Danio rerio: one gene and its partner. The protein of the gene in region 1 purifies or fractionates together with the protein of each later gene. This does not show direct contact. Links are inferred from orthologs where the notes say so. Each region holds a gene or a part of one and is shown on either strand. Other genes may lie near its edges.

The links.
Region 2: the proteins of ubxn2a (region 1) and ppp1r11 purify together in Homo sapiens (affinity purification with mass spectrometry; 3 studies listed by BioGRID and IntAct, counting the BioPlex papers as one, with this or other methods). This does not show direct contact. The link is inferred for Danio rerio from reciprocal best matches to the Homo sapiens genes UBXN2A and PPP1R11.

What each region holds. Positions count from the first base shown.
Region 1 is NC_133195.1:47,885,378-47,891,351, forward strand, and holds the start of ubxn2a (UBX domain-containing protein 2A), read right to left. Parts: upstream 3,663-5,974; 5' UTR 3,545-3,662; intron 1,794-3,544; 5' UTR 1,775-1,793; coding exon 1,728-1,774; intron 1,606-1,727; coding exon of another isoform or gene 1,599-1,605; coding exon 1,463-1,598; intron 952-1,462; coding exon 842-951; intron 34-841; coding exon 1-33. UniProt on the Homo sapiens protein: Acts to repress the ubiquitination and subsequent endoplasmic reticulum-associated degradation of CHRNA3 by the STUB1-VCP-UBXN2A complex in cortical neurons.
Region 2 is NC_133194.1:29,863,756-29,869,541, reverse strand, and holds the start of ppp1r11 (E3 ubiquitin-protein ligase PPP1R11), read right to left. Parts: upstream 4,087-5,786; 5' UTR 3,726-4,086; coding exon 3,648-3,725; intron 139-3,647; coding exon 30-138; intron 1-29. UniProt on the Homo sapiens protein: Atypical E3 ubiquitin-protein ligase which ubiquitinates TLR2 at 'Lys-754' leading to its degradation by the proteasome.

The DNA.
Region 1 (5,974 bases):
TCAGCTCTTCCTTCAAGCTCCAGAGGCAGCTCACTTTATAAAGAGGATGTTTTAAGGTTAGTATAAAACTAAAAGCACATCAATTAGAAAACAAACTCTTTTAAAATGTACTTTTTCTGTCATCATATGATTTTAAAAAGCACAAAACATACAAAGGCTGCGTCCGAAAGATCTGAAAATGTTCCTTCTAAGGCAGCATTTCAAGGCGGGAAGAAATCAAGGCACTTCCAAATCTAAATTCTGCTTCACTTCTTGTCTCAGGAGGTACTATGCTATGATCAAATTCTGAAGGCAGCATAAATATGTCCTTTGCTCCCTTCAATATCCCACAGTCCTGTGCGTTCCATTACTGACAGTCAAAATAAAGATGGCATCTCGAAGTTTAAATGAACATTTTTGACTTTTGATGGTATTTCTAGTGTTGAGTTGGTATTGTAGTAAGCAAATATTCCAAAAATCACCAAAGCTCTTTCTGTTTTGTTGTACATGCTTAAATCATTATGTCTAAAGTCTGAAATCTAAAGTCTGAGAGGTGCTTTAATGCTCAAACAGTGCATCCATAGTCAATGTAAAAAATTGCTGTCAAATTTACAGTATTACTGGAGTTTTCATTGCCAGTAATGCTGTCAAGTTTACTAGTGCACTGTACATAAGCAATTAGAAATGTGCAGTAAAACTGCAGCAGTTGTAATTTACAACCATAATTGCCAGTAATACTGTAAATTTTACAGCATTTTTTAAAGTGTAGTGAAGCAACAAGTCTTATCTAAGCTTTCGGACGCAGCCAATCAGTAGTGGAAAAATGAATCCTATGATGTTGCCATGTTGACGAAAACATTACCCCTTTTTAATGGCCTCCAAGAACTCTTGGTTTTCCTCTTGGGTGTAACTGCGCAAGTCTTCGTCATTCAGCGTGAAGCCATTTTTCCACAGTCTCACCACAATCTCAACCTGAAAATATCAACCATAAAACAGCATAAGAATGCACTTGAAAATGCATTCATTTGTTCATCTAATTATTAAATTAACATTGAAAATTCATTTATTTATTTTCCTTCTGCTTATTTATCAGTGGTCACCACAGTGTAATGAACTGCCAACTATTCCAGCATATGTTTTACGCAGCGGATGCCCTTCCAGTACTATACAGTCCTAGGGTCTGTTCTTGGTAGGTGGATTACTCAGTTAGCTGGATTTGGATATCGACATGATCCATGAACTCATCGAAGACTTGTCATAGCAACAGTTCTGGTAGCTCAAACCTCACCTTAGCTAACCCAGGTGTGCCTGATAGGGGTGGGAACTAAACTTTGCAGGACACCGGCCCTGCAGGACCGAGTTTGGACATGCCTGCTTAAAACCATTAATATATTTTAAGTTTAGTGAACCATCCCTTTAACTCAACATACCGCATACATTTTAGGTCACCTCTTGTACAAGATGTCTCAGTGATTTGTCTCACCTTTTTACCACTACTGGCAACACTGCTGATCTTCTCCACCTCATCGAGCAGGTCCTCGACGGAGAAACTGGATCTAATAGGGCTTGCCTCTTCATCCTCCTCCTCCTCCTCTTCCTCATTTTGTGCACCTTCACACCTGAAGGCTCATGAAGGCAGCAAAGTGTGATTCCTTTTACATTACTCCAATGCTAAATATACAATAATGGAAGAAATGACACACTCATGATACAATTTCCAGGCACAGAGCTGCGAACGGCGGCCTTACCATGTGTCATCTTCATGCCTTTCTCTTGAATCAATATTTTTCATCATAACGTCTTCTGTTGTCCATCTTGCAACACAGACATATGTGGGCATATATAAGTTATAAGGGCTGGTGCAAGCCAATGTAACCACTGCATCAGTGTTTCTTGAATAATACATGGAGCAGGACTTTCTTTGTGTGACTGACAAGTGCAGTGAGATCTGAAATTCTCAAAACATCGATCTGCTTTCAGGCCTCTACAGTAAATCTAATAGAGTTATATTAAATTACTAATATTACTCTAAATATCAACTGTATTTAAAGGGAGGGTTCACCAAAAAGAAAAATTTACACGCCATTTACTCAGTCAAGCGGTGAACTTTTAAGAGTGTCCTTTTTCTGTTTGAACACAAAAGGAGATGTTTTGAAAAATGTTATAAATCTTTAACCATTGACTTCAATAGTAGGAAAAACAAATACTATGGAAATCAATGGTTGCATTTTTCAAAATAACTTATTTTGTGTTCAACAGAACAAAGAAGGTTTGTGACAACAAGTGAAGCTTGAGTAAATGATGACAGAAATTTTAATTTTGGTTGAACTATCTATTTAATCCAATGTATAGTTCTCCGAATATTGAATTGTTCTACTTAAAACGTACACTATTAAAAAGAATAAACATTGATATATCCCATAAAATAAACAATATATTTTAGAAAGAGTAGATATTTTGGACATGTGCCATAAAAAGTACCATCATGCATATTATGTGTACAAAGATATTTTATCAGTGTTACACTACTTGACAAAAGTGTTGTAGTCAATCCCAGTTGTAAGAGCAGCAAATAATAACTTGACTTCTAGTTGCTCAGTTGGAAAAGTGGCAGAAGGTCTTTTTTTATGTATCATCTGTTGATCTGCATCCCAATCCTCATAAATACTGCAGAAGACCTACTGGAACCTGCATGGACCCAAGATTCTTACAGAAATCAGTCAAGTTTGGTAAAGGAAAAAAATCATGGTTTGGGGTTAATTCAGTATGGGGGGGTGCGAGAGATCTGCAGAGTGGATGGCAACATCAACAGCCTGAGGTATCAAGACATTTGTGCTGCCCATTACATTACAAGGCACAGGAGAGGGCAAATTCTTCAGCAGGATAGCGCTCCTTCTCATACTTCAAATTCATGGAGTCAAACACAATATTAATTATTTTCCCACTGCACTAAGACTTTACATTCTATACTGTACATTATTTCTAAGTGACAGACTTTAGTCTAAGCAAAGTCAGACCTTATTGTCCTAACTAAATAACTAAAATCAAGGCATGACCATATTTTATTTTGGTAAAATAAGTGTAATCTAGAGGCCTTTGCTTTTCATATAAGCCACTTCTGATACCAAATGATCAAATAGGAATCAAGTTATTATTTGTTGCTCCTAAAGCTTGGATAGGCGACAAGACTTTTGTCAGGTAGTGCACAGTTAATGATCAATACTTAACAGAGATGAACAGTTTGTTACTGAACGGTGACGTCAAGACGCACTGACAATACATGACGCTATCATGTGTTATAATAATCTCGGGTTATTTAAGCGACTGTTTAAATGTCCGGCTGTGATGGCAGCAACATGCAAGCTTTAAGCTTTCTATTCATAGCCAGTGAAACAAACAGGTCAAAAGCAGCATATTAAATGAAAGCAGTGCGCCAAAATTACGTAAGAACAGTGTGGAGACCACGCAAGCGCACTGCGATCCGTTATGACAACAAACAAGCTCTAAACACATCGCCTCTGATTAGCAGACTAACAATTATGATGATAGAAACATTGATGGTTACCAGTGTAAGGCTTCAAATGTGTCGTAAAACTGTCCTTTCAGCTCGTAAGTTTCTCTCGTTTGTCATGCCGCTCCTTACACAGCAGCAGTCCACCATTCTTATGACGTCTCCGTCGGACGACGTAACGTTGGCGCGTACGTCGCTATGACTTCATCGAGATCAAAATAATATACTTAAATGTTTTATTTGCTTCTCGTTTTAATTATTAGGAGTTTATTTACTGCATGCGTGTTAATAAATGTAAGCGCGCGTGTGTGTTTGTGTTGTGTTGTGGAGAGTGACAGATGGTGACCGCAGTAAGCAGTGCAGAATCAAAGTAACCAACACTGTGTGCAGATTAAAGCTGCCGAAGCGATTATTAATACCACACATAACCTGACCCTAGTGTCCAACATATATCAGGCCTGCTGGCAATAAAGTCATCTTCGAAAATGATTTTTAATAGCTATAAAAGGCTTTTTAAACACCCAAGAACGTGAGCAGCTAGCCAATCACAAAAGTTTGATGAAGCTCTCTGCCAATGGCGTGAGTTTGGGGCGGAGCTGTAGCCTTTTTAGCAATGATCATTATTGTTGTAGTTCCGTTTGTTGCCTCTAGTGTCCCTTTGTAGTTCCAATTTCGGGTACACTGTCGTCATAAAGGGATGGACATTAGCAACAAATACTCAGGTAGCCGTTGATACGATGCTCAATTGGTACTAACGGGCCCAAAGCGTGCCAAAGAAATATCCCCCACACCATTACACCACCAGCAGCAGCCTGAACAGTTGATACAAGGCAGGATGGATCCATGCTGTCATGTTGTTGATGCCAAATTCTGACCCTACCATCCGAATGTCGCAGCCGAAATCAAGACTTATCAGACCAGGCAACATTTTTCCAATCTTCTATTGTAGAATTTTGGTGAGCCTGTTTGAAATGTAGCCTCAGTTTCCTGTTCTTAACTGACAGGAGAGGCACCCGGTGTGTTCTTCTGCTGCTGTAGCCCATCCACCTCAAGGTTGGATGTGTTATGCGTTCAGAAATGCTCTTCTGCAGACCTCGGTTGTAAAGAGTGGTTATTCGAGTTACTGTTGCCTTTCTATCTGCTGGAACCAGTCTGGCCATTCTCCTCTGACTTCTGGCATCAACAAGGCATTTGTGCACACAGAACTCCCACTCACTGGATATTTTCTTTTTTTTTGGACCATTCTCTGTAAACCCTAGAGACGGTTGTGCGTGAAAATCCCAGTAGATCAGCAGTTTCTAAAACACTCAGACCAGCTCGTCTGGCACCAACAACCATGCCACGTTCAAAGTCACTTAAATCACCTTTCTTGCCCATTCTGGTGCTTGGTTTGAACTGCAGCATGATCATGTCTACATGCCTAAATGCATTGTGTTGCTGCAATGTGATTGGCTGAAATTTTCCTTAACGAGCAGTTGGACAGGTGTACCTAATAAAGTGGCCGGTTAGTGTAATTTGTCAAATCCAACACAACTTACTTATTCTTTTTTTTTTACAATTATTTTTAGGGGTTTTCACCTTTAATGGATAGGATAGTAGAGATTATTGACAGGAAAGCATGGGGAGCAGAGAGAGGGGAAGGATTGGCATAGGCCCACGAGGCGGGAATCAAACTCGGGTCACCGTGAGCACCGGAGTGCATGTGTCAACACACTAACCACTACACCACTGGCACCGACACAACTTACTTATTCTGACATGTGCATATTAAAATATATGAAAAATAAAATATGTGAAAATAATAAGTAATCATACATATTTTGTTGTATTTGATGACAGCAAAATACAAATGTTTTGAAGGATAGTGGCAAAGATTTAAAACCTACAAATATTATTTTGGTGCTGCAATGTGATGCTTAAAATTGAGGTTTTATATTCACACATTCAAACTTTCTCTTCAATAATATAGTTTCAGTAAAGTAGTGTTTGCAAATTCGAAATATTGAAAGCATTGCAGCCAATGACAATAAAAGACCAGGATTGTTCACAGTCAGTTAAACAGAGCTAATGTTGTTTTGAAGTTACATGTGATTTCAGGCTGAATATTCAAAGTACTATGGTAAACAATTCAGGGAGTGTGTAAAAAAATGTCACTGAACCAATGTGCAAATTTAAAACCAACTTTACCTCAATGCTTAAATAGTCTTATCAATATATCCTTACATGATTCTTGTTTAAAATATGCCTGACAAATATTGGTATATGAACTATATTTTCGGTGAGGCAGTGGCGCAGTAGGTAGTGCTGTCGCCTCACAGCAATAATGTCGCTGGGTCGCTGGTTCGAACATCAGCTCAGTTGGCGTTTCTGTGTGGAGTTTGCATGTTCTCCCTACGTTTGCATGGGTTTCCTCCGGGTGCTCCGGTTTCCCCCACAGTTCAAAGACATGCGGTACAGGTGAATTGGGTAGGCTAAATTGTCCGT
Region 2 (5,786 bases), on another chromosome or scaffold:
CAGACGTTGAGTGTTAAACTGAGACTCACACTTTGAGGACCGCCGGCCGAGATGCTCATTGTCCACCGTGTCACTGGACCACTCTACTTTCTTCTCCGTCTTCCTTTTCCTGAGCTTGATGGTCAGGCTTCTGCCCTCCTAAAACCAAACAGACCATTACATGGAGAAACGTTATGATGACAATAGTAAATTATAATAGATATTTTTTAAGATATAAATAGATATAATAGCTACTTTTTTTCATAGCAAACAAGAGTTCGGCCTAAAAACAACTACATAACTACTGTGTCACTGTAAAACAAATTTACCTGCATTCATATTAACCCGTATTAGAGTTGAGCGATATCGATCAATTTGGCATTGTACAATGACTAATGTAAAACACTGCGATGGACGATGGCATCATCATCGTAGTCAGCGGTGAATTAATTATGTAAGAATTAATTTTTTGTAGCCTACTGTTTCAATTACCTGACCCACATATTTATTGTTTTACCCATAACCAAATCATGAATAAATAAAGATAAGTTACACTAATTACCACCTGTCAATCACTTTTTTAGTGGGACTCTGGCATGAATAGGCAGAGTGATCTGTGTCGTTATAATAGTGTCGACAAGCTTGGTGGTTAAAAAGGTGCACATTTGTGTTAGACACATAACATGAAAATACTATTTTCTACATAAACTATGGCTGGGCGATTTGGCCTAAAATCAAAACCTCAATAATTTGATAATTTTTTCTCAGTTACAAATAATGAATGATCATTTTATTGGTTTATTTATTTATTTTGCCCTCATAGTTCACAAACAGGTTATGTACAGTAAATATTCTCACATATTACAAGTGATAGATTTTTTAAAGAAGGATGCATTTTTTGATTTTAAAATAATTGAAGGAAATACAGTCTACTATTTACTGAACATCAACGATGAACAACTGAAATTAAAACACACATTGCCTAAAACCAACAGTCAGTTTTGTCTTATAAAACAGTGAAAATAAATAACTTTTGGAAACAAAATAATTTATTCTCAGTGTTCTTTTTATATTAAAAGTAGAAAATAAGCAGGATCTCTTCTCAATAAAATAACTTGTATATCCTGTAAATAATATTTTAAACTGTGCATTTCCTGAATCTTCTGTAAACAAATATTTTATTGTAAATAATAATTTTACTGTAATAGAGAATATGCCGTCTGAAGGCATCTCTGGCGCAGCTTCCAATCATCAACAATGTAATGCAAAGGTGCGATGTGTGTAGTTAAATTTTTCAAGTGGTGCGCAGGTATGCAACTGCTCGAAGGCTGCGCCAAGACATACCTGTGCGTTCGACGCAGAAGTATAAATCAACCTAACAGATCATGGTACGTAACTGTAAAAATTTACCTAAAAAAATTTTAACGATTATAGGCTTTAAAAGTCGATTACTTCTTGATTAATTGCCCAGCCCTAGCTTAAATTACAGTAAAACCATAACCATATTGTAGCAGTTTATTTCATGATATTTTATTTCTGAAATTTATTTTAACTAAATAATTAAATAAGGAAGAAATAAATACAAATATAGTAATAGTTATAAATAACCACAACAAAATCCTTATAATCCCATGTAAAAAGAAACAGTAACTAGGGCAGCATGGAAAAAACTGGCTTTTTTTTATTGACTGTGATATATATTGCAATATAAATGCGGTTTCAGAAGATGACTTGAATAGCTTGTAAACAATTGATCATTTTAGATTGACTGGGATGACTCTGCTTAAAATATAAAAAAAAAAACAAGCAATATTAAATACAGCAGAGAAAAGTAGCAAATAAATAATGATTTATGATTTTCTGGGAAGTGAAACAATATTTAGAAGCAGAAATTAAATAATCATTGTGTAATAATAATAATAACCGAATATTAATATTAATAACACTGTTTTTTTTAAATTGGGTAAATGATGTACAACTAAACTTTAAGCTACAAATGTTCCATTTGTTGTGCCCAAGTAGCTTAAGATTGCTTCAGATTTAGTCAGTTCTTAAAAATACATGCAAATAATAAACTTCCACTAAGGTCAAAATATGAAATTACTCTGCTATGAAGTTAACTGTAAAATCTGGTCAACTATAATCCCCATTACATTGCAAATCCCTGTGATGTGACTCCTGCGGACTTGCACATTGCAATATCGATGCTGAAATGATATTGTGTGCAGCCTTACCAGTAACTATTTTCATGTGTTTAAATGGTCAAATTTTATTTAAAAATCTGGGATTTATATATAAAACTATATACATTTATAAATATATAATTATACTATAAATTATATATTATATTAGAGCTGGGCAATAATTTGATAACGATAATTATCACAATATATATATATATATATATATATATATATATATATATATATATATATATATATATATATATATATTTTTTTTTTTTTTTTTTTTTTTTTTTTTGATAAAACGATAATGACAGTTCGATAAGTGTTTGATAATGTTTATACACTATGTATAACACTGCGCAAGCATTTTGCAGCCTGCACATCCGGATGCCACACATAGTACAACTTTACAGCCTTACAGTGTTAGCTGCACATGGAGGAGTACAAAAAAAAGAAATTAAATGTTGTCCATGCTTAATCAGTCATCAATAAGGTCTATCGACTAAAGGGTTATTGACAATCAATAGATCATCAAGTAATCGTTAGCATCCCTAAATAACATAAATTAAAGGATATTTCACTCTAAATTCACCATCCTCACCATTAAAAAGACAGGTCATCCAAAACTGTAAATTCTATCACCCTTAAATCACCTTTTACTTGTTCCAAACGGGTATTACTTTTTCCTGATGTTGAACAATAATATACAGTAACTTGTAGGTAATGTCTTTGGTTGCTGAAACTTGAACAGTAAATGTTGAAAAGTAGTTAGTTTGTTCTTTTCTTTATTATTATTTTTATTTATATTGTCAGACAGCAAAAACATTTCACAAAATATGTTAAATCAGCTGCACAAAGGGATTGGCATGCTGAAAGTCCTTTAATATTGATAGATATAAAGATTTAACATTTATCATAATAATTATCGATATCGATTAATATGAAAAATAAAAATACCTTTTTGCCATATCTCCCAGCTCTATATTTTATATTAATTTTCATTTTAGATCAAGTAATATTTGTATTTTTTTATTTAGGTTTTAATATGTATACCGTTTATGTCATGTTTTCATATATCATTAAACTAAATAAAAATGTGGAAAAATATTATTCATTATTTAATCTTTCCACTATTTTAATTCATTTTAAAGCAAAACCATAAAAATCGTGCAACCAAAACTACCATGGCATATACAGTAAATGTCAATAAGGATACATTTACCCGGTTGTATTTTTGTCATGTTGTGGGTCAACCTGTAATCACAACACACTTCCAAACCAGTCAGCACACATAAACCCTGCTGAATACGCTGATTACAAAACAGGCCTTATGGCTGGTATCTAGACAGTCCATTTTAAACAACCAACGTAAATTATATCAACCACAAGAGCTTAGGACTGCTAGTCTGAGTCCTGTGGCCTGAATGACTTGCTATGCGTCTGCTTAGTGATGGTGTCTACCGTAACTAGGGCACACAGTACCTGCTGGGGTGGAGGCGGTGTGCCCGTCTGAACGGTCTCCGTTATCGTCTCACTCGATGTACCTGGAACCTCCGCCATCGCACTGATGAAGCCCGAAAAAACCTTTCAGCGGCGCTCGATAGCCTTTAATAGACAAATGCCTGGTTTCGGTTTTGGGATTTTAGGAAATAACAACTTCGGCCGTCGGCTGGTGGTGTCAAAATGTCGAGGTGGTCGCTTTATGAATCTCTGATGAATGCATGAGATGAATTTGCAGCAGTCTAATCACTCCTAAGGAAGGACGTGTTTGCGGACGGACCAGTTCGAGAGGTTGGCTGTGCTTCAAAAACTAGTCAGCTGACTAGCTAGATATGATTGTGAGAAGTCGTAGTTGTGGTTTTGGAAAGCGAAGCGCCACTAGCTAATTTCTGTTGTCTACGCGGACAGCGTATGAGCATTTGAGACGCAGTCTCTAAGTGTTCACCTAAAAACGCTCCGGTCGGAAACAGAGGACGCTTCGAGAACTTGTATGGTGATAAGGAAGAAATATCGACTGTAATGTGGCTTTCGTTGCTTACAGCTTTTGGATTTGACATTTAGCTGTGTATTAATCAAAATAGTTTAAGTCGTGTGGAATTTTAGACCTCAAATATCACAGGGACAATTCAGTGCCGTGTTCGCAATATGTCTGCGCCCTGTGACAGCACACACTGAGTGGAGGTACATTACTTTCTGTTTATCATTTTCTGTATGCAGCATTCAATTGTAAAATGTATTGTACTATAAACTATGCCAGCAATTGTGTTGCAGGACGTATTTATTTACATTATTTTCACAAACACGAGCTTTCATCGATTTCCTAAATCACTTCCACACGTTTGACCCTGCATATCATTATTTCAGACTATTGAATGATGGTGGTCATATTCATGTCACATTGCACCGGCATCGTACTAATTTATATTATTAATATGCAATTGTTATTTTTTGAATTGGTAGTTTTGCCATTTTTATTGCTTTTTATTCAAAATATTTATTTCATTTCTCTTTAGTGCTTCAACCTACATTAATGTCAATGCATTGAAATACTGTGTAGAAAACACATTATAGGTAATGTCCCCTAAAAGACCCAGGAAGATTCATTTTCAAAGATGTAATGTTCTTGCAGAAAGGGAACAATAAAGAAGAAAAACACAAGATGATCAATTCTGGTTGCTCAAATGGCAGTCCTTGGAGGCCTTTTTTTTACAGGCATACAAACAGATGATGAAGCATTGTCTTTAATCATTGGTTTAAACAGTTTGTTTAGTAGAATCTCATTGATCATATACTCAACTCTTTGTCAGCACAATATTCCTGCAACTGGCACATTCCAACCATTCAACTGATTGAAAACTACAGTTGAGCATGTGATTATATATACTGATAAAATGATATTAATACTCTTTGATTTATTTACAACCTTACAGGTATTTTCTATTTATGTTTTGTTAACATAAGTTAGTTATTCTGGTTAGCATGAAAAATTTATGTTCTAAACTAAAGCATAGGTCTCAAACTGGACTCCTGGTGGGCCGCAGCTCTTCACAGTTTTGCTCCAACCTTAATCAAACACAGATGATCCAACTAATCAAGGTGTTTAAGACTAGTAGGCTTTTTCTAAATTGCAAAAAGGCAGAGAATGGCCCTGTGTTCTTGTGAAGACCAGTCTTGCCAGGTCACCTCCGTAGAACAAACTAGGGAGGTCGTGAGGACACAGAACGCGTCCTCTGAGAAGTGAGATGCATGCGCTCTTCCCAATAGTCACATGACCTTCACTCATTTTTAACGGGAAATTATTTAAACATAACAGTATATATCCACTGATTTTTTCTCTCTCGCATTTTCAATGTATAAAAACATGCACAAAAACCTTACAAACTTAAATATACTCTACACAATACAAAAAATAGACTTTAATATGAATTTCAGCAATTAAACACCCTTAATGTGTTTATGCCTTTATAAAGATTTTCATGTTTATGTTTACTTTCACCATCTCCGTGAATTTAGGCAAACTCCTGAGACAAATAAGTTATATCTCTGAACTTTAATCATAAATCTATATTAAATGCTGTACTTCCCGCCTCCTTTATTCAGCTTCAATGACGTCTGGGACTT